Linked DNA regions of Tribolium castaneum. The protein of the gene in region 1 binds, or shares a complex with, the protein of each later gene. Links are inferred from orthologs where the notes say so. Each region holds a gene or a part of one and is shown in the gene's direction. Other genes may lie near its edges.

Region 1 (3,427 bases):
TCTGCATATCAGGTAGTTATAACCGACGTGAAAATCGCCCAATCTCCCGGATATCGAAAACCGCACACACGTTCATAATCCCTATTATTAGCCGCTTTAAGCCCCCATCCATTTTCCAGAAAACGAGATTAGGAAGTTCTGTAACAGCGAGATCCTCCTCTCCGGCCCCTCCGAGGGTTTTATCCACAACCCGGGCTACCCCCGATTTTACTCCAGCCAGAGACAATGCCGCTGGAAGCTGCGAGCCCCTCGAGAGCAACGCATTCGTGTCACTGTTTTGGACATCTCCATCACTGGTAATAAAAACCAATAGCGCTCCCTAAATCCCCGCTAAAAAAAATCCAGCCGACAGGATAACGCATCCTGATGAATGCAGCGACCGGCTTGAGATTCTCGATTCGGGCCAGTTGGTCCAAACCACGTGCAAGCCCCAAGACCCCCCGCTGGAGGTGGTGTCAGAGAGCGAGTTCGTGGAGGTGGTGCTGGTCTCGGCCCATTCGCTAGTGCCCCTCAGAGGCGTGCTTATACACTACACTGCCGTGGGGTGTCCCACCCCCGACGCCCCTGAAGACGGCTACCTGGTCTATAGGAACGAAACAGCTGCAGAATACAGGTGCTGCATCAATCGGGCCTTTGAAGACGACGGACAAAAAACCAAAATCATCAACTGCGAGGGGGCCAAGTGGGACGTCGACCTCCCTCTGCCCAACTGTACTAGTAAGTTTGATTAGACGCTAAATGGAATTGACCTCCGACCCCGCTTTTTAATTTTTAATGAGATAAAGTGTTGTGTGCGAACAAAGATAACGCCGAAACTCCACATTTCGTGCTTTGTGCGAGTTTGCTAGTTTGGATAAAACAAAGATAAACTGAACGTAAGCCCTACAAAACAATTTCGCATTCGATGAAACTCCCAAACAAAATCTAATTATATTATGGAGTCTACGCCTCTGCCTATTGACTTGTTGGTGTTTCCGTTCAACAAAACGTTCCCGTATTGCTTTATCTCTCTCGCGATGCTCAGTTGTCAACGGAAAATCGTGTAGGAACCACGTGGATTACCTAGAGGCGTTTTTCGCGATAAAAAGAATTGTAGGAGTTTGCACTAACGAGGCAAATAGTGAGTGTTTCTAGAGTTTTTTTTCATGTAATTGTATTTTTAGCGTCCAATTAGACAAAGCAGTTGAGGTTATATTGTATTGTTATAAAAAAAATCATTATGAAAAGTTTTGTTGTTATCAAATTGCGGAATTGCGCTTCAGACCACATTCATTAAGTCAGCGGCGACTCGTGAACAAGGCTAAATTTACTCATTTTTTCAGAAAAACTTCAACAAAAGCCTCTGCTAACTGTTCAAGACATCGGAAAATCGAAAAATATCGAAATGGTTTCAGGTAACGCATTTTATGATTTGTTTAGGTTGCTGTTAATTTTTTTTCAGATGTTTTAGCACCGGCCTTACTCATAGCGGCTTTATTTTTGATAAATTTTATGGTTCTATTTTACATTTATAAAATTAAGCAAAAGTAAGTTGCTAATTTAGACTAATTTTTTTTCATCCATTGATCTTGTTTTTTTTTTAGACACGCTGAAGAATTTGCTGACGAAGAATTAGGAACGTTGCCACTGTCAAGTTGTGAGAAAGCCTCGCCTTGAATTATTTATTTGTAAAAATGACACTTTTATAATAAAAGTTTTATTTAATAATCGCTATTTTATTCCACCACTTTGAAAGTTGCAGTTTGGCGCGTAAGAACACTAGGAATTTTCGTTAGCTAAGGTTTACCAAAATAAAAACGCAATTTTCAAAAAAATTTATTGTTATAAATCAAATCCAAAAATACGGTAAATATAAAACATATGTTTACATTATGATTCAAGAGATAAGGGGTCAACGACTTTGAACTTGTAGCATTTTTGACACCTAGCTAAGTTGGCACCACTGACGATCATTAAGCTATAATAACCTCAATTTAGCCCCCAAAAATCCACTTAAAATGGGGGTCACAGTGTTACAACAGTTCCCCACAGAGAACCGCACGGGGCCCTCCACCATTGAGCTCCTCTCGAAGCGAATTTCCGCCCTGGGGGCCCTGCAACAGGGCCAGTTTCTCGTCGATTGCGAAACGTTTACTTCTTGTGCCGCTTTGGGACACCAACGTACAGTCCACGTCCTTCACAATTCCGAGCAGCCGGCGACTGTTTTTTCGATCCTTGAGACAGGCCAAAAGACCATTCCTCTCGCAACTGACGGCCTTTTTGATCTCCTGATGATGAAAATGTCCGGTTTTTACTCATCAAAAAAACAGACTAAGGCCGAGTCGAAGGGGCCGCGATACGAAATCGGTGATTTTTGTGTAAAATTGGGAACAGTGACTGTAAGTCAGAACTTTCGGGGGGTTCTGGTTGAAGTAGAGTATCGACCATGTGTGGTGCCTGCGATGTGTTGGGAGTTGATGCGGGAGTTTCTGCAGGGGTTTTTGGGGTCGTCGGTGCCTGCAACGCCCCCACCGTATTTGCAAAACAGGATGCAGGAGTTGTATACCCCCATTGATACAATTCATCAGTATTTGGAGCAGTTTACGATATTTAGGAAGGCCCCCGGTTTAAGGCCCTAATTTTAAGCTAATTTATTGTAAGGTTCAAAGTTTTTGTAAAGAAAAAATTAAATAAAAACAATTTTGAGGTTATATTGTCTTTCTCTTTTACTCCCACACATTAGACTATTATGCGTCTTTGTCTAATTACATAATTTGGAAAGTTGATTGTTCACCTCTATCAGCACTTACGTAGGGCAGAATGTGATAGTGGTGATGAAGCAGTTTTTTTTCAATAAAACAGCATGAAAACATAATCATGCGTTTGCGGTAATTGTTCCTTACTTGAGAGAAAAAGCACAAAAATGAGTGAGATTGAGAAAATCCGGGTTGGATCCCGGAAAAGCGAGGTATTTATCACGTGTTTGTTATTGTGGGCTCTTTTTCATTTGACATTTTCAGCTGGCTCTCATTCAAACGCGACATGTGATTTCACTGCTCAAAAAAATTCATCCTGGGAAGGATTTTGAAATTGGTGAGGTTTCGCAAAAAATTCCCAAAATTTATTTATTTATTTCAAAAATTTATTTTTAGTAACAATGAGTACATTAGGAGATAAAGTCCTAGATATACCGTTACCAAAAATTGGTGAAAAATCTCTCTTCACCAAAGAACTTGAAGCAGCTTTAAGTACAGGCTGTGTAGATTTTGTTGTACACTCATTAAAAGATCTTCCAACCGTATTACCTCCAGGAATGGCAATTGGGGCTGTTTTGACTAGGTTTTTCTTAATTATTATTGTAATGATTATAATTAGCTTTCGTAAAATTTAGAGAGGATCCGCGGGACGCTCTAGTGTTGCAAAAAGATCATGACAAATATTTATTAGA
Region 2 (3,941 bases), on another chromosome or scaffold:
TGAAATGCCTTCAAGACACAATAAATCGTATCTGTTTGCAGGAATGTCAATTCGATAAATGACTTCCTCGGAGGCTCCCGCCGCCTGGGCTGAATCCTCCCCTTGTTCCTTACTTATCATCTGTTTTTCAGTTGTCTTGAAATTTAGGGCATTATTGCATCATTTTATCGCTTGAAAGATTAATACTTACGACTTCGTCCAGTTCAAGACCGAACTCGAAGCATAAACGCTGGAATTCATCGTCGGCTGGAAATTGCAAATTGGGGCAATAAGGGGGCACAGTGATCAAACAACTTACTGAAAGTGCGCCCAAGGGCTTCGAATAGCAAATTGCGCTTGACACCCACAGTCGGCATTGTATTTTTTATTTACTATCACGTTTTTGTCTAAAAATGAACACGTTTAAAGTGTTTCACAACTGAAAAAACGATGACATGTGCGGGACCTGTCAATGTCAAAAGTTGAGGTTGGGTCAATTGTCAGCATCAGCGATCAGTTTTCGAGAAAAAACGCCAGTTTTTAAGATTATTTAACAATTAGTCTTCGTCAGAACTATAATCGGAACATAATAATGCAAATTTAATTAATTTTTTCCCACAATATTTTTTTTCGCCGGTTGTATTGGCACACCTGTCAATTGCGAGACGTAGCGTTTCTTATAACCTTAAAGTTACTTCGCCCAAACAAACAAAAAATGGGCTCAAAGAAGAAGAAGCGCGTTTCCAGCAGCTCCAGTTCATCAGATTCAAGCAGCGAAAGCTCCGATTCATCACCCGAACGGCGCCCGAAACGTAAAAGCAAGAAAACCGAATCGAAACCTGAGACTGAAGAATCGCCGAAGAAAACCAAAACGAAGGCAAACTCGCATAAAAAACACGAAACTCCGCCTGTGGCAAGTGACGAGGCGAATAAACAGGCAAAAAAGAGGGACAAAAAGCCAACAAATGAGGAAGAAACCGACAGGTATGATTGTTGGTGGTTTTAAGGGAAAATACTAGTTGTGTTTAAAGGAAACGCAAGCGGAGTCCTGTGCCTGAAAATCGGGACAGGCGGGAGAGGGACGATAAGAGGGTCCGGGACGATCGGGGGCGGCATGACGACAGGAGAAACCGCCCCAATGACCACCGTTCTCACGATAACAGGTTCAGAAACCGGCGTCCTGATTACAGAGACAGGGAACGGGATTACAGGAACCGACGGGACGATAACAAAAATTACCACAACCGGGAGCGAAACAGAGAGAACCATCCAAGGCGGCGTAGCAGAAGCGCCTCCTTTGACCACTCGAACGCCCGTTGGGGCCGCGAGTCGGACGACAAAAAATCCGACAAGAAGGAAAAAGACCAGAAGGAAAAGCAAAAACCGAATTTCGGTCTTTCGGGAAAACTTACCGAAGAAACTAACACTTATCGTGGCGTTGTTATAAAATATAGCGAGCCGCCTGAGGCTTGCAAGCCGAAACGTCGGTGGCGGTTGTACCCTTTTAAGGGCGAAAAGGCCCTTCAGACTTTATACATACATCGCGAAAGCGCCTACTTGATTGGGCGCGATCGCAAAGTTGTTGATCTCCCTGTAGATCACCCTTCGTGCTCAAAACAACACGCAGCTTTGCAGTATCGCCTAGTCCCTTTCACGCGTGAGGATGGCACCACTGGTTTGTGGGACAGCTGGTAGTGTGTTGGGTTTTTCATTGTTTTTTTCAGGGAAGAGAATAAGGCCGTATTTGATTGATTTGAACTCGGCTAATGGGACTTTTATCAATAATAAGAAGATAGAGCCGAGTAAATATGTGGAGTTGTTGGAGAAAGACGTGATCAAGTTTGGGTTCAGCTCAAGGGAGTACGTTTTATTGCATGAGAATAGTAAAGATGAGACACAGGATGACGATGTGAAGCAGGAAGAGCCGGCGGTTCAAGTCAAGAGTGAAGAGAATTGAATTTTGTGTATATATTTTAATTTAGCTTAGGTTTCTTTCAATAAAGTAATTTTTTCGATTAAAATTCCCGCTCTTACGATTTAGTTATTCTCTGGGCAGATGGCATCGCAGTGTGCGCGTTATTTTGACATTTGTGTATTTGAGGTTGTGTTCGAAATAAAAACTGTTCAATTGATTATTTCGTTTAATATTTAAACCCGTGAGTGTTTTTCCCCATCATTATGTCGTCTCAAATGAGCACGAAGGAAAAACTCCTTTACATCCTCGACGATATTGAGTTAATCTCCAAGTACGTCCCCCTTTCGGGTCATTTCGTATGGTTTTATTTGCGTTTTTTAGAGAAATAATCGAGAATTCAATCGCCCCCAAGCACCTCAAGCTTTCCGGCCCTGAATACGCTCAACTGACCGAGCTTTTGGTGGCCAAAAACACCGAACTGACTGAAACCCTTAAACTGGCCGCTGAACAGGCGCAAATCGACAAAAAAATGGACATCTTGAAGGCCGAAGTGGAGCGTCAGGACAACGACATTAACAACTTGCAAAAACAGCTCAAAGAGGCCGAGCAAATCCTGGCCACTGCGATTTATCAAGCCAACCAGAAACTCCAGTCCATTTCCCGCGCAAATAAACGGCCGGTCTCGTCCGAGGAACTTATCAAATTTGCGCACAGGATTAGCGCGTCTAATGCGATATGTGCCCCCTTGACGTGGCAACAGGGGGACCCGCGCCGGCCGTACCCCACCGATATTGAGATGCGGTTGGGGCTGCTGGGGCGGCTGATGAGCGATCCAATTAACGGGCATTTGTTGCAACAGCAGAACAGTTTGTCAGATTTACATAGACAGGGGCACCCGGGGGAAATACCCGCCGCGCAACAAAATCAATTTGCATGGCATCCCTCGGGGGAGATTCACATGAGTGTGGGGCAAGGGAGTGTCCCGATGGACACGCGGAACCATAAACAGGAGACCGAGGATGTGGAGGTCATGTCCACGGACTCCAGCAGCAGTTCCTCAAGCGATTCTCAGTAGTTTTGTGTTTTTTCCCTGGACTTGATTCATCATATTTATATAAAAAAATTAAGCGAGTTTGTGTGGAGAGTATACCATGAGGGGAAATAAAATGATAAATCAATAGATTGAGGCGGCTATTTGGGGAAAAAGTCTTGTCTGCTTATCTCATCAATCAACTCTTCGTGACAGTTTAGATAAGATCTTTGTTTGCGTCTGACGAATATTGTTTTCTTATGTTTGTTTATAATGGAAGGAAAATAAAACACATTTCATTGTAATACCAACGTCTATTATTTAATTATTCCCTACAAGCTGAAGTGATTCAAATTTATTGTTTGATGAAATGATAATCACAAAAATGAAGCAGTTTCTCATTTTCTGAAATTTCTAAACAACACTCACTTTCTATAAAAACAAGTTTGTTGTTTTGATTGCGTCTTTATGATAGGTACAAATTTACAAGTAGGTTTTTTGATTTAAATTTTTATCGGATATGTGAGTTTTTTATCACAGGGTCGTAGTGTGATAATTTGAAAATTAAACCGCGTTATTACAGCAGAGCTAGGGCTGAAAAACGAGAGAAAGTCACCGAATATTATCGATATTCTTAACAATGACATTATCGTATCACAGTATCGATAATGATAAGTTTCCAACTGTAATCAATTTTTCGAAATACTTTAACAAACGAGTTATTTATTGTCATTATTACGCGATATGGGTATCAATAAATCAATAACATACAGGCGACTCATTTCCAAGGCTTGATCAACTGGTGGTGCTTGAGCTTAACAATGCACTTTGATTAAACAACGCTTTAATGAATATCGACAATAACTGATTCTTTTTTAACAGCTCTACTCCCATTATTACCATGTGTTAAGGTAGTGGCGATGCACTTATTGTAGAACAGCACAAAGTGTCTCAACTTTCCAAAAATAATAGTACCTTTGCAACAAACGGAATTTCTCTTGTTACCTAATTTACTCA
Region 3 (4,884 bases), on another chromosome or scaffold:
TTAAATTTTTTGTTTTATTTTATCAAATATTTTCTTCAAGATTTTATGACAAATTTCCCACCATAATCCTTTTATAGCATATTTTAAAGTCCAAAAATCCGGTCTCTAATAATAACATTGTGGTGAGAATGGTAAGCTACCGTTATTTAAATACTATTTTGTTGTTTTTTTTTGGCGAAGCTTCTCTGTCTTTAAAGCGTTTAATTTTATTCTGTTTTTTTTTAAGAAAAACAAGATTAATAATGATACCAATGTTTTCTAAATACACTTAATTAATTTCTGGAAATGTTTATTGAAGAAGAATATAAATTTTGTTATAAAATTCAATAAAACTATTCGTAAAACTAAAAGGATGAATTTTTATAACTCATTAAACTAATGTATTTACGTGATTTCTGGCAATTTTGAGTTATTTAGTTTATGCTTGTATTACAAAGCAACTTGTTAAAAAAAATAACTACTACAATTTTTTTTCTTTTAATTTTATTACACTAAATCTGCCACTAGCTGTTTCAAAACTATAAAAACAACAACGACGCACTTTACCAAATATTTTTTAAATAAGGTTGATAAAATTGTAAAATAGTTATTAATGATTAGATATCTCATTGAAAGTATAAATTACATTAGTTATTATTTTCTTCAACTGCATGAATAATTTATAACAGCACACATCACAGCAAATTTTGTGAGAAAATGTGACGTTGACGTTTTTATAGTTTTGAAACAGCAAATACAATGGTATAAAGGGGACCAAGGTTCTTCTTTAATATCAGACGATACCTAAGGTGACGGGGGCTATTATTAATTTATTACAGAAATAAAATGTAAAACACCCTTCGTGTAAATTATTTTTTGTTGCATTTGGTTTTTGAAAGCTTTTCATTTTATCTGAATCACATGGAGTAAAATAAAGTAGTCAATCTTGCTTGATTTCTTCTAAAACTCCCTCATATCATGTTTTAACGGTTTGGAAACATTTTTTGTAAAAAACATCTATCTAAGAAATTTTGAAATACAGTAAACTAAGCAATTTTATGTGATTTTTGTTGAATGCCTACAAAATAATAAAAAAAAACATTATGTGGTATAAACTAACGCACAACGTATTTGATTTCTTTATAAAAAAAAAAACGAGAATAAACTATTCAAAATTTTGGAAATGTGCCTATGGTGTACTATTATCTTAGTTGTGATGTGTTAGCGGGCATTTGCTCCAGTTCTGGGGGAAGATGAGGAGATTATCGTGTCAGCAACTTCTTGCGATCTAAAAAGTTGAAAAGTTGTAGCGAATTACGGCTTTAATTGTCATTGACGGATCTAATACGAAATTCGTTGGTAAAAAACGCGGATTAATTCCGGGAGTTTGTTTTACGACCACATTTCATTAAAATATTTGCGTTGCAATAAGCACAACATATGTGCCACCAATTCAAAGCACTCCAAAGTATCAAATCTTGATAAAGTTGAGAGTTGGTAAACACAAATGAATGGAAAAGCACTTGAATATTTTTATTGTTATTGTTATTATCAGACACGAGTTTGAATTGGGCGCCGGTGGCGTAGCCAAATATCCCTAAATTGGGGAAAGTAACGAAACTGTCAAGTTTTTGTTTGGTGCTGATGTATGTTCGAAAAATCGGTTTTTTTCCCTTAATTCGCCCCAAATAGAAAATGTTTACGAACATTTAACGTTAATTTCGCCCGAACTCATCATGAATCGCGTAACAAACGGTGGGTTGCGCGCCCCAGCCAAGAGTTTGACTTTTGACATTTACAACTTTGTTTACTTTTAAGGCAATTTAGCGATGCCACCGTCCGTTGTGGACAAATCCAAAGACTGGCAGTTGGAGATATTGATGGAGAAGCTGCGCTCGAAGGCGTCGCAGTACAAAAGCTTGACAGAGATATCCAAAAATGTGCGAATGGCCATGCTTGTAGGTTATGTCATGTCTGGCACTGCCTCCATTGATGCCCTACTTTCAGGACAAGCGCTACGCGTTGGACAGCGTCGAGAAGAGCCAGCACCAGAAATGCCTCGACACTCTGCAGCACTCCATCAAAGTGACGTCCTTGCAGAGCATGATCGAGCGGCTGGAGAGCTTGACGCGGCAGCTGGGGCTCAAGTTCATGGTGGGCCCCTCGGGGGTGGAGCTCTTCATCTCCTCCGACATGTTCTACCTGGAGATAGTGCTCGACCAGACGGGGGCCGTCAAAGACGTGAAAGTGCACCATGACAGTAAATTGGAGCAACAGAGTTGCGCTGAGCTCGTCAATTGTTTATCTAGTGGCGATTTTGCCGATTTCACTGCCCAGTTGGAAGGTTTTGCCTCGATTTACCAGCTCAATGCTGAGAAAAAGGTCAAGTGTAAGGCGTTCACAGCCTTGCAGTCGCTGGAGTCTGATTTGAGCACCTTGGCTCACTTGCAGTCTTTCATGAAGGAACCTTTCAACCTGCTGTATAAGTCTCCGGTTGGGGTGCTGGAGAAGCGCCGAGGGGGACACCCCATGAAACTCACCTATTTTGTCTCTCCTTATGATTTATTAAATGTTGAGAAATGTGATATTGAACCTATTACTGTTGATACGATCGTTAGTAAAGCGCTGGGGTACAGTGTGACGGTGTGTATGGAAGGGTCCGCTACACATAAGTTGCAAACGACCACTCTCATCACAGTTAATAGGAATATTAACGGGAAAAGGTAAAAATTATTAAAAAAAATTTTTTTTTCTTTGAGGGAAATTTATTTTAGTACGCCGTCTTTTTCATCGCTAAGTAGCCAAAATAGTGCAGCAATTCCGGCCTGTTTTGTCCTCAAATTAAACAAACCAATGCCAATGTGTGTCAATTTAGTTAGACAAATTCAACAAGTTACTGAATTGGATACTATAGAACAATCAGCAACTCATCCGTTACTTAGTTTAATAGTACATCACGCCAGTGAAGGGAAAATGGAGTCTGGGAACAATAAGGGCCTTTTTGTGGTAAGTGGTTGGCAATAATATTTATAAAAAAATGGTCATGTTGACTACTGATTCTCCTAGTTTGCGGTACAAACTTTTCGAGAGCCAAAAAATGGTAAATAATCAAAAATAATCTACTTAATGAAGTTCCTCTGACATTAAAAAATTCTAAAATCAGCAATTTTAAACATAAATACAAAATGTTTCTTACAAAATGATTTTTCTTATGTGTTTTTTTGCTCTATAATTTTGTTAAATAGAATTAGATATTTTATTATTATTATATTTTTTATTTTTTTCTTCAATCAAATTGTTTATTTTTTTGTTATTTCTCATTTATTGTCTGGGTCAAAACCTTGATCAGCTTTGCTGTCTTTTGGTCCACTTTGTGGTAGGAACAACTCGTAGAAAATTTTAATTTTGTTATCGTATTTTTTTTCTTGTTGTAATTAATTATATTGTAACTGTTTTACTGCCACAAATAAATTATTATTATTATATTATTATTAAAAAAACAATTAATTTCACGTCAAAAAATAGTTAATTAACCACCTCAATTCTTGATATATAAGCAGCCATTTCATTTTAACGGACGGGACACTATAGATTTTTTACCAATTTTTATCACCAGTATCAGTAGAAGTGAATTTTTCTTTATAGGAACTTAGTACCAGTCAAACAATTTGCAACCTACAATAGTCGGAGCCACATTTGTAAAATTTGAAATATGAGCAGGAAAAAGAATACAAATTGGTGACGGACGGGACACAAAAAAGACCTTACATTTTTATCGCTAAACAATCTTTATAAAATTCTGTTAATTTAAAAGGCACTAATTCTAAGAATTACTTTATAAATAAATGGTAGATTTTGTTGAAACTTTTGAAACCACGATTAATTTACTTTTTGTTTACACATGGCGGATGGGACAAAAAAATCTTGTGTATGAAAATAACTCTAAAAAAATTATTTAGGCAGGTTTTAATTATTAAAGATTTTAACAATATCAAAATTAGACTGGAAATTAGAAACTTATGTCCTGTAATTGTTTTTTTTAATTAATAATTTGAATATTTAATAATATATAAATTAATGCTTAGTCAAGGCATCCCTAATAATTTCTTCGAACCTTCTCCCAAATACAACGCATTCTTTTTCTGGAGTTTGAGGGGGTTTCAAATTTGAAAAAAATCTCAAAAAATTCACACGTTATTCACAACCTATCCTCAGCCTCTCTACTAAAATTTAATTAATTTTAAAAATCTTAAAAATAAATTAGTTTTAGATTCACAAGTTTTAATAATAACACTAAATCTAAATGTGAAAAAAATATGATTTTTTTGTTTTTATTTTTTTTTATCAAATCTTTTCTTTTAAGATTAAGGACCAGTTTCGCATTATAATCCCTTTTTAGCACATTTTAAAATTCTAAAATCCACTCTCTGAAAATAACATCGTGTTTTTTTTAACTAGTTTAACTAACTTTGTTTTTTTAACTAAGTTACTAATAATACCTTATTTTTTTAATATAACTAATTCTGTCAATGAAATGAATATACGTAAATTAATTTAATTTACGTAATTGATTGATGCTTAAGCAAGGTATTTTTTACAGTTTCTCTGAAATTACCCCTAAAAGCATTCATCTTGGGCTCAGGAAAAAAGTTCAAAAAATACACACAATATTTACAACGCATCTTTAGCCTACCAATTCATCATACGATCACCTCTCGATGTGGTTGTAAAAATACCTATAAAAAAATCTTGAAGTTTTAAAACACACCTAAATGCGATAAAAAATGGAACTTTTTTTTATTGTTTTTATCGAATATTTTCGATAGACCAATTTCCCATTATACTCCCTTTTTAGCATATTTTAAAGCCCTTAGAGTTGCCTTAGTAGACTTTATCCAAATCAAA
Region 4 (4,890 bases), on another chromosome or scaffold:
ATAAAAATATGTTATTCGTTTACTACTAGTCTACATTACGATAAACTGACCTTGATAGTACAAAAGAAAAAGCATTCTGTAACATTTTTGAAGTTGCAAAAATCGTCAAATACTGATACTTTATAATGAATATTAAAAAAACTTGCCGTTCTAATTTTTTTTTGACTTCGGTATCAGGACTAATTATTCTACAGATAAACATTGGTTTTATCTATTGGTAAAAAACGTTGTAAACTAGTGTAATTAATGCAGTGAAATCCCCCTTAACGGACAACTCCTATAAGCGGACTTCTGTGACAGACGGACAATTTTGTTGACCCCGTTTTGAGCTAATTTACTTTAAATGGAATTGCTTTTCTTTTAAGCGGACGCTCCAATAAACGGACGCAGACAATGCAAATCAGATCCTTGAACACAAAATCTCGCCTTCAAGCAGACAGCATGTTAATTATGACAATTCGTCAGAAAAAAAAGAATACATGTTTTATTCAATAGTAAACTGATTTAGATTCTGGCCTCAGAAGAGGTTTTAAAGTTATGTGTATTATTTATTGTGGCTTAGTGCCAACAAAATTGTCCGTTTGTGAGAGAGTTCCGCTTATAGGTGTCCGTTAAGAGAGATTTCACTGTGTATTTATGCCCAGTAGGGCATGTAAATAATCAATCACCTTGTCGTTATTTTTGTTCTCAATGCCGTATATTTCCTGCAGGAGGTAGCAAAGACCGTCAACGAATAATTTCTGTTTGAGAGCTTTTAAAACATAAGTACCGTCGGACAATTTTTCGGCTGTGGCGATAGTTGTGTGTGATTGTCTCATTTCTGGAACAATCAATTCAAAAATTAAATTCAAAAACGGGTCAAACCAACCCTCAGCGCCTTCCTCCGCCACACAGTGAATGGCAATTGGAATAATCTCCCGGTCAACATCATACAACAACTCCTCTTCTGTGTACTTCGAGGGATCAAAAACGTGAGTCATTTGGCAAAACTGTTGGTTCGCACCGCGTTTGTAATGAAAAGTCTCGGAGGTCGTGTTAGGGTCACGCGGCAAGTACCTTCAAACCCCATAAAATTGCAAACCCATGACAAAAACCCAACTTACGTGACTCCACTTGGTGTAAACTCCTCGGTACAAAAATAGTAGATTGTTATTGCACACCTGACGTCACAATCGAACGTGAACTCGATATTAAACGTCGAGCTCTTGCCCAGCTCAATATCCCTGATGTCCCGCTCGTTCTTTTCCGCCGGTTTGGAATAATCAGCAGGGGCGCGGACAAACCGCAGCGACTCTTTCCGGATGTTCACCAGACTTTTGAGCGTTTTTGTGGGCTCATTAGGCTGGGGCGGGGGGTAGGGAAACTAGAAACGGCACTGTGGGGGCGAAACAACCGCATAATGGCTACTTACAGGGGTTGGTCTACTGCCCAGGAAATTCAAATCGGAGTTCTCGCCGAAGAGGTAAGACTCGGGCTGGGGGGTGTCGAAGCGCTCGCCCCCCATTATAAAGTGGCTCCCGAAGTAGTTCCCTTCAGAAAAACGCCTTCAAGGTAATTGGTACGGAAAAAAGCAAAGCGACATACCAGACCTGGGCGGGTACTTGTACGCGTGGTTTGACACCACGTCCACTTCCTCGACCCCTGCGTGTTGTCTGCTAGCCAACGAACCCATTCTGCGGGCTTGAAATTGCCAAGTTTTTCCAAAATCAGAAATTATTGTTGTTTTTAGTTTGACATTATTATTGACACTTGTGACATTTGAGGCGTCGTCGCCAACACCAGGGACACAAAATCCCTGAGTGAATGTGTCAGAAAATTCATGTGGGAAAGAAAATTCAATGAAAATTCAGGAAATGCCTTGCTATGATGGAATCTGACGAGCACAACCAGGAGTCAGAGAGGAATGTCACGGTGGAAAATTTGAATATCGAGATCTTGCCCATTATCTACGAAATAATACGCAGGTTTGTTGATAAAATTAGTGACAGGCAAAATCGTAATGTCTTGCATAATCATTCAGTGTTGAGAAAGACCACCACGATAACACCGCCAAGGCACGAGAGTCGCAAGACTGTTCCCAGAAGGTGCTCGAGTTGCAAAAACGTTTGGACCAAGCCAGAGCCGAGGTAACTTTCTTCCACCCTAATCACTTCATACCCATAGTAGGGGATACGAATTAGGATCATACTGTACTATCTTCTGGTTACCGGATGAAAATATCTTTTTATCAGAGATAATATCCAAAGTCCAAAGGATTGTATCGCGAATAGGTTTCCTAAAAAAAATGTTCCAGGCCATGGTAAAGGGGGCTAAAAAGCGTCGAATTTTAGCCTTTTTTCAGTATTTTACAACTGAAGGCTACAGGGGAAAAACAACCTCAGTCCACTTGTTTGAGAAAATGAGGTGGGGTTGTAATATTGTAGTTTTTGAGAAAACAATCAGATAATTGAAGCGGGAAATAGCAAATACGACTTCAGTATTGAGCAAAATATGTTACAAATTACACTATAATGAAAAAAGTTATGGTTCCACGTTAGAAAACTTTAAGGATATAATTATTTTTTAGCTCACTGCAATCAAGAAAATAAAAAAAGTTAAGAGGCTTGTTAAAATTTGAATAACTTTAAACTTAAATGAAATACCGTATTTTTTATTTTTGCATCTAAAAGACCTTTAAATTGTCTATTAAAGAACATTAACAGTTAAGTGCTGATTACTCAAAAGATTATACTTAACTTAAAACATTAAAAAAAGTCATTAAAAATTATTCACAATTGTTTCAATAGTCGAAGAGTAAAATTTTCAGCTAATAATAACTTTATTATTTTTCAGTTATTTTTCACAGTAAAATAACTAAAATTTTCTTATCTATGGCGAATTTTTAAATCCCTGTTTAAACTCCAACAAATGATCCGTGGTGAAGTTGCTAAGGTTATGGTAACAGTAATCCTCATGAATAATCTGCATTGTTGATGAAATTAAATTTTAAAGTCAAATATTTGTTTAATTATAAAGGTTAGGCATTTGAAACTTTGTTTTTAAGTAGACAATTTAATAATCTTTGAAAAATAAAAACAAAAACTTTTATTATGTTATTCAACTTTTAACAAACTTCATAATTTTTCTACGTTCCTAATTGCATGCGTTAACCAATTTAACTTTGAACATTCTTAAAAAAATAAGTTTGTATTGTAGCTAATTTCGGAAATATCCTATACAGGATGATTCAAAAATGTTCGACAAACACTCGTATGGTGATAAAAGACGTTCAGTTAAGCACAAAAATGAAGTCAGATTTTTTTATATATTTTTAAGTTTGTATTCCTTAGCAACGGTATCGATTGTTTCTCTTTTGTTTCCTAATATGTTGAATTTAAGATATTGTCGAATTTACAAGTTTTTTTATTGTTTTGCACATAATTAGACATTATTTGTTAATTTTTTTCAACAGGTATTTGTTTAATGTTGCAAGAGATGTCGTTTCTGCTAATTAAGGTCAAAAAAATATGGTCCGAAGCATCAAAAAATTAACTTAAAAATTTAACTTTGAAGAGCTGTAGCTATCTCGTGAAAAAAGACTCAAACAATTTTTTGTCATAGGAACTTTTAATTCAGTTTGATGTCCTTTATCAGCACCCGAGAGATTGTACGAGTACTTTTGAATTACTCTGTATATTTGAAAGTAGTTTTAGATGAGGCAGGTGATTAGTATCTACAACTTAAGGAAAAATAATAATAATAAAAACCCGTTATATGTACGAATAAACAGGTGGTTTCAAATGAACAGCAAAGTTGCTGTTCTCTGCTCTTCCACTTAAACCTTTCAAACAAGAAGAAATATACAGCAAATGAATAAAGACAAAATAAAAAAAAATTGACATAACAAACCAGTACAAAATAACCAGTAGATTCCCATGACTGTCCTTGTTCGGAAAATTATTTGTCAAATATTGCAGCCTTGAAACTATAAGAAGATTCAATTTCTAGAACTGTCGATGGATGCTATTATAATCTTTAGCTACATTAAAAAAGGGACTTTTAAAAGAGACTTGTGCGACTTACGGTAACATTATGTATGTCACGACGGAAGATTATTTCATCAGTGGGACTTGGAAGTAACTATTTTGTGATATAAATAAAGTCCAAGTTTTGTTAATTTGATTTTTATATAGCATGGTCGCCTCACGTCCACTTTCAATTATTTGATCTTTATTTTTTTAAGTTTTCATTTTTTCTTGTTAATTTTCAATACTTTACACAATCATGCAAAATTCGATTGTCTAATTTCAACACTTTTAAATTTGTGTTTGTTAAATAATATTACATTGTTGAAAATGAACCTAGAATGATTCAAAGTGAAAAAACTTGAAAAACTTTATTTATACTCCTTCCTCAAAAGCCCAAGTATGTTGGAATTTCCTGATGCCATAGGCAAACCGGAGACAAGAATTCTGAACCAATTACTTTTCTAACAATTAAAGATAAATAATGGACTTTACCTACTCGCATTTTTGATAAAATAAGCTTCATCCGTTAAACAGATGAGTGCAGAACGACCGTAATTCGAATCTTAGACTACCAACCCCTTGCAGATCCGGCTATTGCCCGGGATTGAGTACAGCAAAGAGCAGCAACTGGACCACTTGGAGGCCCTCAAGACGCAGCTGAAACTCAAGCAAGAGCTCCTGCGCAAATACCGCTACATGTACTCGTTTGAAGTCCCCAAATAACAGCATGGTGTTTCGCCTCCTGATCCGCTTGCTTGCAAACAACGAACAGTTGGTGCAAAGACTGAGCGAATCGTACCCTATGCGCAAAGCGGCGCAGGTCGTAGTGCGAGCTGTCTACCACGGCAAGAATCTCATCGAGGAGCGGGGTCTTGACAAGCGG
Region 5 (3,557 bases), on another chromosome or scaffold:
GGTCACAATGCATTGATCGAATCACTCCTTTACCCGCCCCTACCAATAATCCTGTTGGTCCATTTAAATTATCAACCCAACCAGGAATTGGTTCGCGCCAAGCGGCCGTAACAATCGACGGTCGAGTGATAACCAAAGGTAACTTTGATTTGTATTCACTCACCAATTGTTCGGTTAAACATTTAGTATAAGCGTACGTGTTTGGTGATTTTTTTAGTAGTTTTGGAGTTAAAGTTTTTAGCGTTTCGTCGTCCATCCAGGTCACTAGATCTAGGATTTTTCGCGGGTCATGTGGCGCATTGTATAGTTTTTCCTCAAGTTTGACTTCATTGCAATGACAGTATGATGTTGACACATGAATGAAAATTTTCAATTGTTTGAAACAGCACGCCAGATCTAGCAAATTTTTTGTCCCTCCTGTATTCAATAGAACCGCGTTTTTCAACGGTTGGTCAAATCGCACGTTGGCAGCCATGTGAAACACCAATTCGACGTTATCCGTTAAAGTTTTCTCATCATCGTTTGATAGATTTAATTTAGTTTGGGTAATGTCCCCAGAAATGCAGTAAATCTTATTTAGTAATTTTTCGCCGTCGGGTTGGTCACGCAACTTATCGAAGACCTAGCCAAAAAGGCGTGTGATTTAAATTTTGACAAGTGATAGACATACGTACAGGACAATTGATGATATCTTCAAGTCTTTCGTTAGGTTTTTTCCCTTTTTTTGGACGAACTAACAAATAAATTGTTGATAATTGAGGACATGAGCGTAGTAATTTCTCGATTAGTACTTTCCCCATAAAACCAGTGGCGCCCGTGATGAGGATGTGTCGGTTTTTGTAGAATTCCGCAACCGCTGATTTATTGCTCATTGTTGAGAAACCTCAAAAACGATTAAGAATTGATTTATTTGCGTGTTGTGTAACGTGCACGCCACTGGTGAAAAAGTTAGGTAATAGGACAGTGGCGTACAAGGAAATGTCAAACACGATTTCGGCAAATATTTGATTGTGGACACAGCACTTGTGATAAGTAGCCGCGTAACAATACACGAGTTTTTGCACAATTGCTTTAACAAATAGAAAAAAATTTCAAAATAATGCAGTGAACTTTTTATGAATTTCGTCAATTCTCATTAATACATTAATAAAATAATAAGTAATGTGTTTCCATTAAAATTAGCAATGATAAATTACTGATATTTACTAAATTAAACAGTGAATTAATTATTGCATCAAATTTTTTATAAAACAAATGATCGAAAAATGAAGCAAAATCATATAAAAGGGTGACTTTGTTTTTTATTTTAATTATGATTACCAAGAAACTTTAATTTAATTAAAAATTGTAAAAATCGAAAAGCATTTTTTTAATTAATTCTTTACTTAAAAAGGATTTAATAGTAATAATAACTGATAATAATTAAACCGTAATTACAGTAAATTAAAAAGAAATTATGATTTTTAAACATATTTGAGACTAAAAACGCTAATCAGGCGTTAAATAGCTGATTAAATAATTAGAAAATTGTTAAATTAATTAATGAAATAATTAATGATAAGATAATTCAAAATTACAATAAATGAGCCAAAAAAAACGCGATTAAAGTCCTCACTTTAAATTTTTTATTGATCCCGCAAAAGTGAAAAGAAAAAATCTCGACTTACTGAAAGGCAGCAACAAAACAATAAAATTGTTCACACACAAAGCAGCAATGTTTTGTAGACAAAGCCGCAACCCATCCACCTGTTTTCATACAAATACCATTACCATATACCACCACCATGGGAATTTCCATGAAAATTCCTCGTGTTGGGGATCATTATGTTAGTCAGTTATTTTCTTATTGGTGGTCAATTTCCCGCTCAATTAAATAACTGGGCTACTTTCACCAGCGATTGATTTTTCCACACGCTTCTTACAACATGTACCGTTTCGATCCGATTTCTTATTATTGAGAATTGAATTACGCAAGAATAATACTTTCAATAGAAGAACAAGGGAATTTGCCAAGCCTCTAATGGTCGCTTTTCTATTGTTGTTACTTGTGACATTTTAAGTGCACGCTCTTACAACACGAACTTGCATTTATCCTAATTGATTAATTAAAAAAATTCGAATTCGAATCACGCGCCATTTTATGCACAACAAACATGGCTGGGAAAGGTAAGCGTCCTTTAATTAAATTTAGGTAATAAACAAGTTTTAGGCTGGAATTATATGTCAGGGGCTCCGGAAACCGACGATCAGCAAAGACTCCGCTTCCAGATTGAGCTAGAGTTTGTGCAGTGTCTCGGAAATCCTAATTATCTCAACTGTAATGACGTAACCTCACTTTTTCGGGAGGGAAAAAATACAATTTTTTGCGTTTTAGTTCTCGCACAGCGTGGTTATTTTAAGGATAGTACGTTTGTTAACTATTTGAAGTATTTGCTTTATTGGAAGGAGCCCGAATACGCCAAATATTTGAAATATCCAATGTGTTTGTATTTTTTGGATTTGTTGCAATATGAACACTTCCGGAGGGAATTGGTGAATGCTCAGTGTTCGAAATTTATCGACGATCAACAACTTTTATTGTGGCAACACTACACCAGGCGGAGGAGTCGTTTGTTAACCCCTTCGAATGTTAACGGGACAGGTGAACAAAGTATTAACCAGAATAGCCAAAGTAACGGACATTTGAGCAATAAAATCAGCTAGGTAGGGTACAAATGTGATTTTTTGGTGGTTAAGTGAAATAAATTATTTTTTTGTTTAGTTACATAAATCACCAAGATCCCACCAATTGCACCAAAATCCCACCCATTTCCATCCAAATCACAATTGATTGGCTGTCGCTGTAATTAAGGTAAGTTCCTTGTTTTTCCTTAAAAATCGTAAAAAATGCAAAATTTGTAACAAACCTCAAAACCAAAAGTCCCTGAACCCGCCCCGCCAAATTCAAATACAAGTTCCGTTTCTCGACCCAATTGGACTTAACTGTACACGAAATCCGCTCGACTTTCATACACCAAAAGTGTACTTGGCTTACACGATTTGTTTATTAATAATTGTTGACATGGTTCTATTAACAATCAAATCAATCATTTCGTTTCGATGCGTCCAACAATTAAAATGAATTTTTTCAAAATAATTTTTGTCGTTATTGTGATAATTTTGTGTGCTAGTGATGCGAAAATACGCAAGAAAAATACCAAAGGTTTGATTTTGCGGCAAAAAGAAACGAATGCGATTAATTTTCTCAGGTAAAAAAATATTGTATCATACAGGATTTTTATGGAAGTTTGCAGACTGGCGATTATGAGGCTTGTATATGGGGTGGCTACGCGATTGGGTTTTGGCGAACAAATCGCAGTGGCCTTAAATGGGGCTTTTGTGCCTCCGGGGGTTGACGATTACGATTATGGGGGTGATGATTATGGGATTTTGGACAGGGATGACGATTACGACTATTAATTTATTTTGTACAAATGTTTAAATAAAATTATTTTATCTAATCAAAGGCACCATGATTCATTCGTAGTCATAACCAACCATTATTTGTTCGTAGACAG
Region 6 (3,447 bases), on another chromosome or scaffold:
TTTCGTTTTGCTCATCGTCACTGGAGCTTGGCTGTCGCCTCAACAATTTTTTATCGAACAAGTTGCCACCGCCGAAAATTGAAACTCCGCCCACTGGTTTAACAAACTTATGGTCGTCGGGAACTAGAGGCTCATCACTTGGCTCCTCCTCAAACAAATTGACGCCCCGCCCCTTGGGTGACGATTTTTCGTTTTCCTCCTCGTCGGAGCTTGGCTGCCGCCTTAATAATTTTTTATCGAACAAGTCGCCGCCCCCAAAAATTGAAACCCCGCCCACTGGTTTAGCCACCTTCTTGTCGTCTAGGGCCGGCGGCTCGTCGCTAAACAAGGGCATTTTGACAGGATTTTGTAAATAAGAGGTGGTTTTTTTCGTAAAAATATCATCATCATCGCTATCGAACAAGTCCTGTTTTGGGGGTTGTCTCAATTCGGGTTTGGGGGTTGGGGGCGTGGCTTCATCATCGTCATCAAACAAGCCCTTACCCCCTGAAAACAACCCCTTAGGTTCGTCCAAAGGCGGCGGTTCATCGAAAAATAGGTTATCTGGAATTAGCGTTTAGTCTGCGGTCCGCTTCCAAAAACAATTACCGTATTGTGGCGTTTTCTGGATTGGCCGTCGATTGACGTACTCTTGATCAATCACGTTCCCCAATTTCGCCGCCAACTCTTCGGCAAAGTTGGTAGTTGGTTGCACCGGAACTGAGTTTTCACTATCACTCGAATTGACGAAATTTTTCGGTTCAGTTCGCAAGTCCTCAGAACTGGTATCAGAGGTGCCCTTGATCTGGAAAAAGAACCAGATATTGCCCATGGCGACTGGATCGCGACTAAACAAAAAATTCGGTTGGCCGGTTAATAGACCAATAAAATTATGATAATGAATGGATCAAGTGCAACTCAACCAGTGGAAAAACATGTGTAAAGTACCTGTGTTCTGTCGGGAATAATTGGCAACTCTGATTCTGAGTCGCTTTCACTGAAATTATCTGAGACTTTCTCAGTTTCGCTATCGCTGGACGAGTCCTCCAGGCCCACGTGCCACGTCTTTTGCCACTCTTCTGAGCCGATTACGTACGGAAGGGGGCGCTCCAGGTACAAGTCTTTGGGTCTGAGGACAAAACTGGAAAAGACAAACTAGTTTTTGTAAATTATTTAGAAAAAAATTACTTGGGCAAGTCGATATCGTCGTCTTCACTGTCACTGACCGACACCTCAACCTTCTCAAAATACGTCTCCAAGACCTCCAAACCCTTCAAAGCCGCCAACCTGATTTCCTCAGTCTTATCAACCTCTTTCTCCTCGGCTTTCGCCTCAACCGGCTCCTCCAAAGTCTCATCGTCCTCATAAACCCGACTTTCAATAAACTGGCTGTTTCGCAAACTTTGAAACTCGTTTTGGGCTATATTCAACTGGAGACTTGTCTCAGACAGGGAGCTTGTCAAATTTTGCAAGTTATTGTTGATTTCGGTTGTTCGAGTCAGGAGATTCTAAAAATTGAACGCTGAAACGGTTCAATGTGGGCCAAAAATGCGAAATACGTCTGCAAAAGCCTTGAGAGTGTTCAAAAGGGCCACATCTCCGGCTAAATTCCAATTGTCCGAATTTTGGATTATTTCGTCCATGGACCATGGTCGCTCCCACGGCTTGGCCCCGGACATTTCTAAAGCGCTGAACAGGCCTGTAATTGCTATTTTTCATTAATAATAATAATAATTTGACATCTGTCAAAAACTGACTTGGGGACTTTCAACTCGTGGGTTGGCTATTACTCCCCGGTTTTGCGTTATTATTTGATTAAATAAAACCAATTAATTTGTAAATAAAACCGTTCTACTATATTTGAAATCAGGCGTGATAACTAAAATGTAACTTCGGCCCGGTGGGATTAATTTACGCAGACTTTACCCAACCAGATTTGGGTTGGCAATCATGTGTGTTTGTTTTTGCAAGATGTCATTCACCTTCTAGTATTATTCTAGTTATTTCGTACGAATTAATATATTTTGTCGCATATTAAACCTCGGGAGATAACAAATTATCATCAGTGTTGGTTTTTATGTGATTTCGGGTCTTATCACTTGTCGGTGATTGGGTAACATAACCTCAATGGCCGATCGTTTGACCCAGCTCCAGGATTGCATAAATCAGGTAATTCCCCCTAAGACTGTACCACTAATTGCATTCGTGTTGTCGCAGCAAGCCGAGCATTTCTGCAACAGCATTGGGATTTTGCAACAGTTCGCCCCTCCTAGCAAATTCCCAAACTTCGACAGGAGTGGCTCCCAAACCCCCCAGCAACAGAACCAAGAAGACTACGTCCAGTTATTCACAACGTTGATTGCGCGCTGTGCCAAAGACATAGATACTTTGATTGAATCGCTCCCGAGCGAGGAAAATTCAACCGAATTACAGGTACCTATCTACAATGACTTGGTCCGACCGCGGACTAAACACTGTTTCAGTTGCAAAGCTTGCGAATTTTGGAATCAGACAATCAAGAGTCTGCTGAGCGTCTCGAGGCTATAGTTCGTAAAGGTCAGGATCTCTTGGAGCAAATCCAGGCGGCGTTGAGCGACATCGCCCAATCACAGCTGGACATGCAGCATTTGACAAAAGCGGGGAGTAAGGATAGTTAAGTGAGCTGTTAATGAATTTTATTTGCGGTTGTGATGAAAAACAAACACAAATAACCATGTACTATTTACAGAAACATATATACAAATAAAAAAGATAATTTAAATTTTATATAGTAACTAACTCGGTTTAAAGTCTGTCTTGTTTCCCTTTAATTAAGTGTTCCTCGACACGTGGCCGCGCCACACAGACACGGGATTTTCTCGTCCTCGATCGGGAATTTGTAATCGTAAGTAATTTCCTCGTTCACACCTATGCTCTGTTTCGAGTAGATCACTATTTTCTTTTGCGACTCGATTGTGATGACTTTGGCGTAGCAATTCGGCTGTAAAAATCATTTTTTCGGGTTATGGAAGACTGTCGCTTAGGAAACGAAACGAGATACAAAATCGTACCCAAAATGTAAAAATGAGGGCGCTTTGAGCATTATACTGTCTCGGCGCCAAGTCGTTTTAAATTAATTTAAAAACAAATGGACAAATCAAGAACACAAGAAAAATCCTACGAAGAAATTTATGGAGAATAAAATTTTCTATTACACGTACACCAAGAATCATTTAAAAACACATTGTACCTACACCGTTGAAAATGGAAATATGTTGTCGCAAACTGTTTTATAGGAAATTTAATTCTCTACAACTTTGTTCCTTACACTTTTTTCAACAAGCGATTTATTCTTTAAAATATTAAAACATTATTAAATTGTTCTATGTTGTGTATAATATTTTGTGGTTCCAAGATATTAACACGAAACTAGACTCACCACAAAATTATCGCATCACTTAAATTGCAAGATTTTGAGTGTTAAGAGAT
Region 7 (4,913 bases), on another chromosome or scaffold:
AGCAATAAAATACACCTACCTTCATATCGCTTCCACGTTGGCTACCGTTTGTAGCATTAAAAAAAATAATAATAAAAATGAAACCAAAAAAAATGTTTATTTGCATTAAATTTTGAGCAAGCCACTTTCATTCATTGAAATTAAAGACAAAATTATTACGTGGCAATTAATTATTTGAGTGTTTGATTATAATTTTATTTACTGTATTTAAAATGTGTCACTCAAACGCGATCACTAGTCACCGAATTGAAAATTTAAACCGGAAAATTTAGATTTGCTTGAGCACACGTCCGTTCGCGACAACGGCAAGTAACAAACTGAATAAATTGAAGGAAACCGCACAATACACAATAATTTAAATAAACCGACCCGACTCACCTCGCCTCGCCTCCTGCTTCCCGCTCGCGATCTGACCCGTGCCATTGCTCGCTGTCGACTGAAGCGCTCTCGCCGCCTGCGCCGCACACCTAACCTCGGGACACGTCACGGATGTGACGTCACTAAGTCTAAAACAGGTCATTACCAGAAATATTCACTGGAAAAATTCGTCAAATTTAAAAACATTCATACACAGAATTATTTAAAATAGAACAGCATTGATGTAAAAAAATTAATTATGACAAATGTATTTGCCTATAAACGTCTAAAATTATAAAAGTTTCGCATGCAGTCAATGGAAAAATAAAAATGCATGTTTTTATTTAAACAGAAACTGGCAATGTGAAAGTTTGGTGCGAAAATTAGTGGTATCGCAATGCGTATAACCACATTGTTTGTTTGTTTCGTTTTGTTGAAAATTCGGTAGGTTCCAAAAGTAGGGTTATGTTGTCACCCGAAAATGACAAAATTTACACTTTTATGAATTTTGTCTCCATCTCTGCCCTTTCAGAGCGTTATGATAGGATATTTAGGGTCGAAATCTCTACCTTTATTATGTGCTATTGCCAGATAAGGACAAAAGTTCAGAAAGTAGGGTTAGGGTGTATTATGATCTCTTCTGAAGTGTTAAATTTTAACTTTAATGTTTTTTGTGTGCTTTCCTGCTCTTCTAGAGCGCTATTAATTATTATTGAACATGTTTAAGGACAGACAAATCTACCTTGAGTCAACGACATAAATTTCAGTGAGATTTATTGAAAAATGCACTTCTCGTGTCAACCTTTTCATGAAAAAGGGTGTTTAAACGTTTATAAAGGGTATGTTAACGTGTGTTGTTAACTTTACCACGTAATAAAACATAAAGTATAACTTGGTAATTTTTTACTTTAACTACTTCTGGATTTTCAAGCTGAAACTTACACCAAACGATTCCTCTGAGTGCCCTGATGACCGTACACTATGAATTTTCTTGTGCAAATTGAAAATAACATTAGAAAAATAATTTTTATTTTCACTCACTTTTTACTTGAATCGCCATTTTTGTTGATTTTAATTTGAGTTTATTTTTTATAATATCACGTTAATTTTTATTATTATAGTGGATCAAAATGTCGTCTTTAGGTTAGACTATTGCCTACTATCGGTTAGGAACAACATGATCTCCAAAAATATAACGTAGTAATGAGCTCCAGAAGGTTTACGTAGATAGGTGCGTTTTTCCCAAAAGTGAGTTTTTTGAGATCGAACCGCAAGTGAGTCACACTGCGAGGAGACTCCCATAGACAGAAGTTGCAAACATAAGGTGCCAGACCGGTGCCAGTTTGGCTGATTGCAAGTATGTCTTTATCATCGATTCGGTGACGACTATTAGTTTCGTAAACTTAATGGATTTAATAAATATCTTTAACATTAAATGTGATCGTGTCATGTTGGGTAAAATTCTTCCATCTGTGCTGTCTGTGCATCCACCTTTTCAAATACAATTAAGAAATTTTCATAATAATTGTATTTGATAAGGTATTGGCATCATTTTGACGTGAGCAAAAATTAAAAAAATATAAAGTAATCGGAATTATTTTAAATTCGCGCCATTTTTAGTACGTGATGATGCGGCTAGATGGCTTCAGCTAGGAATTCATTGCCAACCATTATGTTCCGCTTCTATTAAAGTGTTATTCTAGGGCCACAGCCATTGCCGTCTCGAACTCCAGGCCGTCAGGTTACTAGCTTTTGTTTATTGTGACGTCATCGTAAGAGTCGTGACATTTGTTCGCATCGTTTGAATATATTGTACTTTTTGGTGTTTTTGAGAGTGTTATTAAGTAATTTGTTGTTGTTTACGAATTTGTTGTTTTGTGGTTGCGTTGTAGGGAATGAATTTTGTGTGTTTATAGTCTTGTGTGACGTGATTTTGACAATTATAGGTTAGGATAGTTTTGCATTATTTTTGTTTATAAATTTGGTTTTATTGTTTTTAATCGTTTAATTTGGTAATAAATAAGCAGATAAGGCATATTTCAGTCTCTAAACCTAACATACTTAATCCTATTGCATTCCTAATTTTAGAAAATGCCGAATAAGTGTTGTGTTCCCAATTGTGTGTCTAACATGAATGGTCCTTATGTACCTATGTTTTCCTTTCCCAAACAAGAATCCCTGCGATCATTATGGTCAAGAAAGATACCCCGAACTAATTGGACTGTTACCAAGAACAGTCGTGTTTATGTGAAATATTTTCGGGATGATTTTATAATAAAATATCACGAAGTGACTAGAGATGACGTAAAATTCTTCGTCATATTCTTATACTTTCGATCACACTTTTACGACTAATTTAAAACATATTTAGCGAATAATAACATGTTGCATTCCATAAGAACCTGTGTTAAAACTTGGATAAAACGGTCGTCTTTAAGTCGCGGTTATTCAAAATTTAGGCCCATAAGGAGAATTTTTGTATTAATAGACGTAACTTTAGACGTTTAAGTACGGCTAGATGGTTTAAACTATCAAAAAATATAAACTTTAATATATGTTTTTCGGGTAATAACAAACGGATAAGGTACTTTAAATCACAACGTATGTCACTATAAAAATTATAGTTGACCGTTCGTTGACCACATTTGCAGTATCAGGATTCTTTAGATACACTTTTCCGTCGTTTCTTGCATAAAACGTTGGACGCAACATAGTTAAAATTAATTTTTTGCAAAAATTCAGAAAGTTAGGTTATGATCATTTAGACTCTTACTGTGACGTCACAATGTCAACATGCAGGCCTGGAGTTCGAGACGGCAATGCCACAGCCGACATACCGTCATCGTGGTTAAGGTTATGTTTTTGTAAACAGCGCCAAAAATACAGCAAAATGCAACAACGGGAAGAAAAACAACTCGAATCGTCTCTCGATTCCATAATCCAGCGTGTCAACGACCTAAAATCATCGATAGCTTCAATGATTTACAAGGTGGAGAATGAATATGAGACCCTCAACTGGCCCACATTTTTGGACAATTACGCCCTTATGTCCGGCCAACTCACCTCCCTTTCGAAGGTTTTAAGCCACGACAAATGCCCCACCCTCAGAAATCTCACAGTACTGCCCCTCATGTTGTCCCCCGAGCGGGACGAACAATTGGCCCAAATGACCGAACACAGAGTCACAACCTTCGCCCATGATTTAGTCCCAGATTATCTTCGAACCAAACTAGAACCGTTGGCGGAGAATAAAATGATGCAATTGGAACACAAGGCGTCAACTTTATCGTATGAGAACGCACAGGTATGTTAAAATTTTTGGTAGAGTATGTTTCAACGCAAACTTTCAGAAACAAATTGCTGCGTATCAAAAGGTTGTGTCCCACGTTTGGGAACTGGTGAGTAAAGCGAGGGAGGAGTGGGAAGTTGAGTCTTCCGCCAGGGGAAGTACGCAGCAGAATTCCAGTGTGGCTGATACTCACTCGCTTGTGGCGGCTGTTGGAATGGGGAAGGGACTCAAGATGGGGGCGAACCCTAACGGTCAGCCCAATCCCACGTCGGGAGGGATGATGGTGCCTCCGCAGGGGCGCCCAGGGGGCACTCCCGGGCAAGGACAGATGCCCCCCAGCACGCAAACCATGACGATGAATAAGGCGCCCTCTGCTATTAAGACTAACATCAAAAGTGCCACCCAAATACATCCATATGGACGCTAGTGAAATAGTTTTTAATGTGTACGGAGATATATTTATTTATTAAGATATAATCTTACAAAAATAACTAAATATAACAGTGGAAACAAAGATTAACACTTTGTAGCGTAATGAGTAGATTATAAAAAGCATTAATTTTATAGACTTTGAAACTATACTATCAACAAATGGTTGAAGTGTGGCTGGTCGGAACGGGTGGCTTTTCCAATAAGTACAGCGGAACTTGAACATTTTCACGATGTATGTTAGCACATGCTACGCATTATATAAAATATAAAACATATAACATTTAGAATACTTGGGACCCAGTCAAACAAAAATTAACAACTTAAAAAAATATTTTCTACAACGTAACGCGGGTGACTGGACCCTGTTTACGTATAATACGCATTTAAAAAAATATAACAAACAACAAATAAAATACTCTTGTGCATAAATTGCAACTATTCTATGGTCATATATTTTCCTTACATGGCAAGAGAATTTTCCTAAGTTTTTGTTCCCTATATACAAAGTGGTACAATAAAAGAATTCAACTCTTTATACTCTCTAATTTGTTAATATACTTTTGTTTCTTAAAATACTGACCAACAATTCATAATTATATACAATCTAGGTTCTCTCAATTTTAAAACCAACCTCCAATTGTAATAATTTCTTTCATATTGCACAATTAAATCACCGACAAAACACAACAGTTGAATAAAACGGTTACTTATAAAATAATGTATAAAAGACGTTCCGAAAGGCACCTCCAGTTGCGTCATAATTTAAAGAAACAACAGACGTCAGTCAGTACTTCAACGCAATGGGACTCAACGAAAACAAACAGAGTATTACGTG

What was found.
Region 2: MED20 (region 1) and MED4 share a complex: the UniProt entries of both Drosophila melanogaster proteins name them as parts of the mediator complex. The link is inferred for Tribolium castaneum from reciprocal best matches to the Drosophila melanogaster genes MED20 and MED4.
Region 3: MED20 (region 1) and MED1 share a complex: the UniProt entries of both Drosophila melanogaster proteins name them as parts of the mediator complex. The link is inferred for Tribolium castaneum from reciprocal best matches to the Drosophila melanogaster genes MED20 and MED1.
Region 4: MED20 (region 1) and MED9 share a complex: the UniProt entries of both Drosophila melanogaster proteins name them as parts of the mediator complex. The link is inferred for Tribolium castaneum from reciprocal best matches to the Drosophila melanogaster genes MED20 and MED9.
Region 5: MED20 (region 1) and MED31 share a complex: the UniProt entries of both Drosophila melanogaster proteins name them as parts of the mediator complex. The link is inferred for Tribolium castaneum from reciprocal best matches to the Drosophila melanogaster genes MED20 and MED31.
Region 6: MED20 (region 1) and MED21 share a complex: the UniProt entries of both Drosophila melanogaster proteins name them as parts of the mediator complex. The link is inferred for Tribolium castaneum from reciprocal best matches to the Drosophila melanogaster genes MED20 and MED21.
Region 7: MED20 (region 1) and MED8 share a complex: the UniProt entries of both Drosophila melanogaster proteins name them as parts of the mediator complex. The link is inferred for Tribolium castaneum from reciprocal best matches to the Drosophila melanogaster genes MED20 and MED8.

What each region holds. Positions count from the first base shown.
Region 1 is NC_087398.1:428,871-432,297, forward strand, and holds MED20 (mediator of RNA polymerase II transcription subunit 20), read left to right. Parts: upstream 1-1,861; 5' UTR 1,862-1,997; coding exon 1,998-2,618; 3' UTR 2,619-2,690; downstream 2,691-3,427. Other genes in the region: uncharacterized protein LOC103313212, read left to right, coding at 1-12, 120-296, 346-717, 1,323-1,394, 1,442-1,526, 1,584-1,656; Hmbs (porphobilinogen deaminase), read left to right, coding at 2,903-2,947, 3,000-3,072, 3,132-3,318, 3,371-3,427. UniProt on the Drosophila melanogaster protein: Component of the Mediator complex, a coactivator involved in the regulated transcription of nearly all RNA polymerase II-dependent genes.
Region 2 is NC_087397.1:1,784,137-1,788,077, reverse strand, and holds MED4 (mediator of RNA polymerase II transcription subunit 4), read left to right. Parts: upstream 1-2,035; 5' UTR 2,036-2,157; coding exon 2,158-2,225; intron 2,226-2,275; coding exon 2,276-2,969; 3' UTR 2,970-3,231; downstream 3,232-3,941. Other genes in the region: beta-PheRS (phenylalanine--tRNA ligase beta subunit), read right to left, coding at 1-135, 191-246, 299-356; uncharacterized protein LOC661495, read left to right, coding at 695-963, 1,011-1,654, 1,704-1,936. UniProt on the Drosophila melanogaster protein: Component of the Mediator complex, a coactivator involved in the regulated transcription of nearly all RNA polymerase II-dependent genes.
Region 3 is NC_087399.1:8,917,739-8,922,622, reverse strand, and holds the start of MED1 (mediator of RNA polymerase II transcription subunit 1), read left to right. Parts: upstream 1-1,573; 5' UTR 1,574-1,715; coding exon 1,716-1,734; intron 1,735-1,797; coding exon 1,798-1,937; intron 1,938-1,986; coding exon 1,987-2,702; intron 2,703-2,753; coding exon 2,754-2,985; intron 2,986-4,884. UniProt on the Drosophila melanogaster protein: Component of the Mediator complex, a coactivator involved in the regulated transcription of nearly all RNA polymerase II-dependent genes.
Region 4 is NC_087395.1:15,956,416-15,961,305, reverse strand, and holds the start of MED9 (mediator of RNA polymerase II transcription subunit 9), read left to right. Parts: upstream 1-1,822; 5' UTR 1,823-1,863; coding exon 1,864-1,964; intron 1,965-2,020; coding exon 2,021-2,126; intron 2,127-4,592; coding exon 4,593-4,730; 3' UTR 4,731-4,734; coding exon of another isoform or gene 4,735-4,890. Other genes in the region: Mrgn1 (E3 ubiquitin-protein ligase MGRN1), read right to left, coding at 669-820, 869-1,056, 1,104-1,363, 1,412-1,544, 1,590-1,672; protein NCBP2AS2 homolog, read left to right, coding at 4,735-4,890. UniProt on the Drosophila melanogaster protein: Component of the Mediator complex, a coactivator involved in the regulated transcription of nearly all RNA polymerase II-dependent genes.
Region 5 is NC_087401.1:17,494,863-17,498,419, forward strand, and holds MED31 (mediator of RNA polymerase II transcription subunit 31), read left to right. Parts: upstream 1-1,714; 5' UTR 1,715-2,153; coding exon 2,154-2,166; intron 2,167-2,209; coding exon 2,210-2,317; intron 2,318-2,374; coding exon 2,375-2,703; 3' UTR 2,704-2,760; downstream 2,761-3,557. Other genes in the region: uncharacterized protein LOC656943, read right to left, coding at 1-622, 675-883. UniProt on the Drosophila melanogaster protein: Component of the Mediator complex, a coactivator involved in the regulated transcription of nearly all RNA polymerase II-dependent genes.
Region 6 is NC_087401.1:8,392,928-8,396,374, forward strand, and holds MED21 (mediator of RNA polymerase II transcription subunit 21), read left to right. Parts: upstream 1-1,918; 5' UTR 1,919-2,106; coding exon 2,107-2,148; intron 2,149-2,196; coding exon 2,197-2,412; intron 2,413-2,462; coding exon 2,463-2,636; 3' UTR 2,637-2,745; downstream 2,746-3,447. Other genes in the region: FAM21 (WASH complex subunit 2A), read right to left, coding at 1-543, 589-784, 928-1,120, 1,168-1,487, 1,539-1,658; Set1 (histone-lysine N-methyltransferase SETD1B), read right to left, coding at 2,786-2,959. UniProt on the Drosophila melanogaster protein: Component of the Mediator complex, a coactivator involved in the regulated transcription of nearly all RNA polymerase II-dependent genes.
Region 7 is NC_087396.1:15,801,200-15,806,112, reverse strand, and holds MED8 (mediator of RNA polymerase II transcription subunit 8), read left to right. Parts: upstream 1-2,058; 5' UTR 2,059-3,142; coding exon 3,143-3,661; intron 3,662-3,707; coding exon 3,708-4,073; 3' UTR 4,074-4,166; downstream 4,167-4,913. UniProt on the Drosophila melanogaster protein: Component of the Mediator complex, a coactivator involved in the regulated transcription of nearly all RNA polymerase II-dependent genes.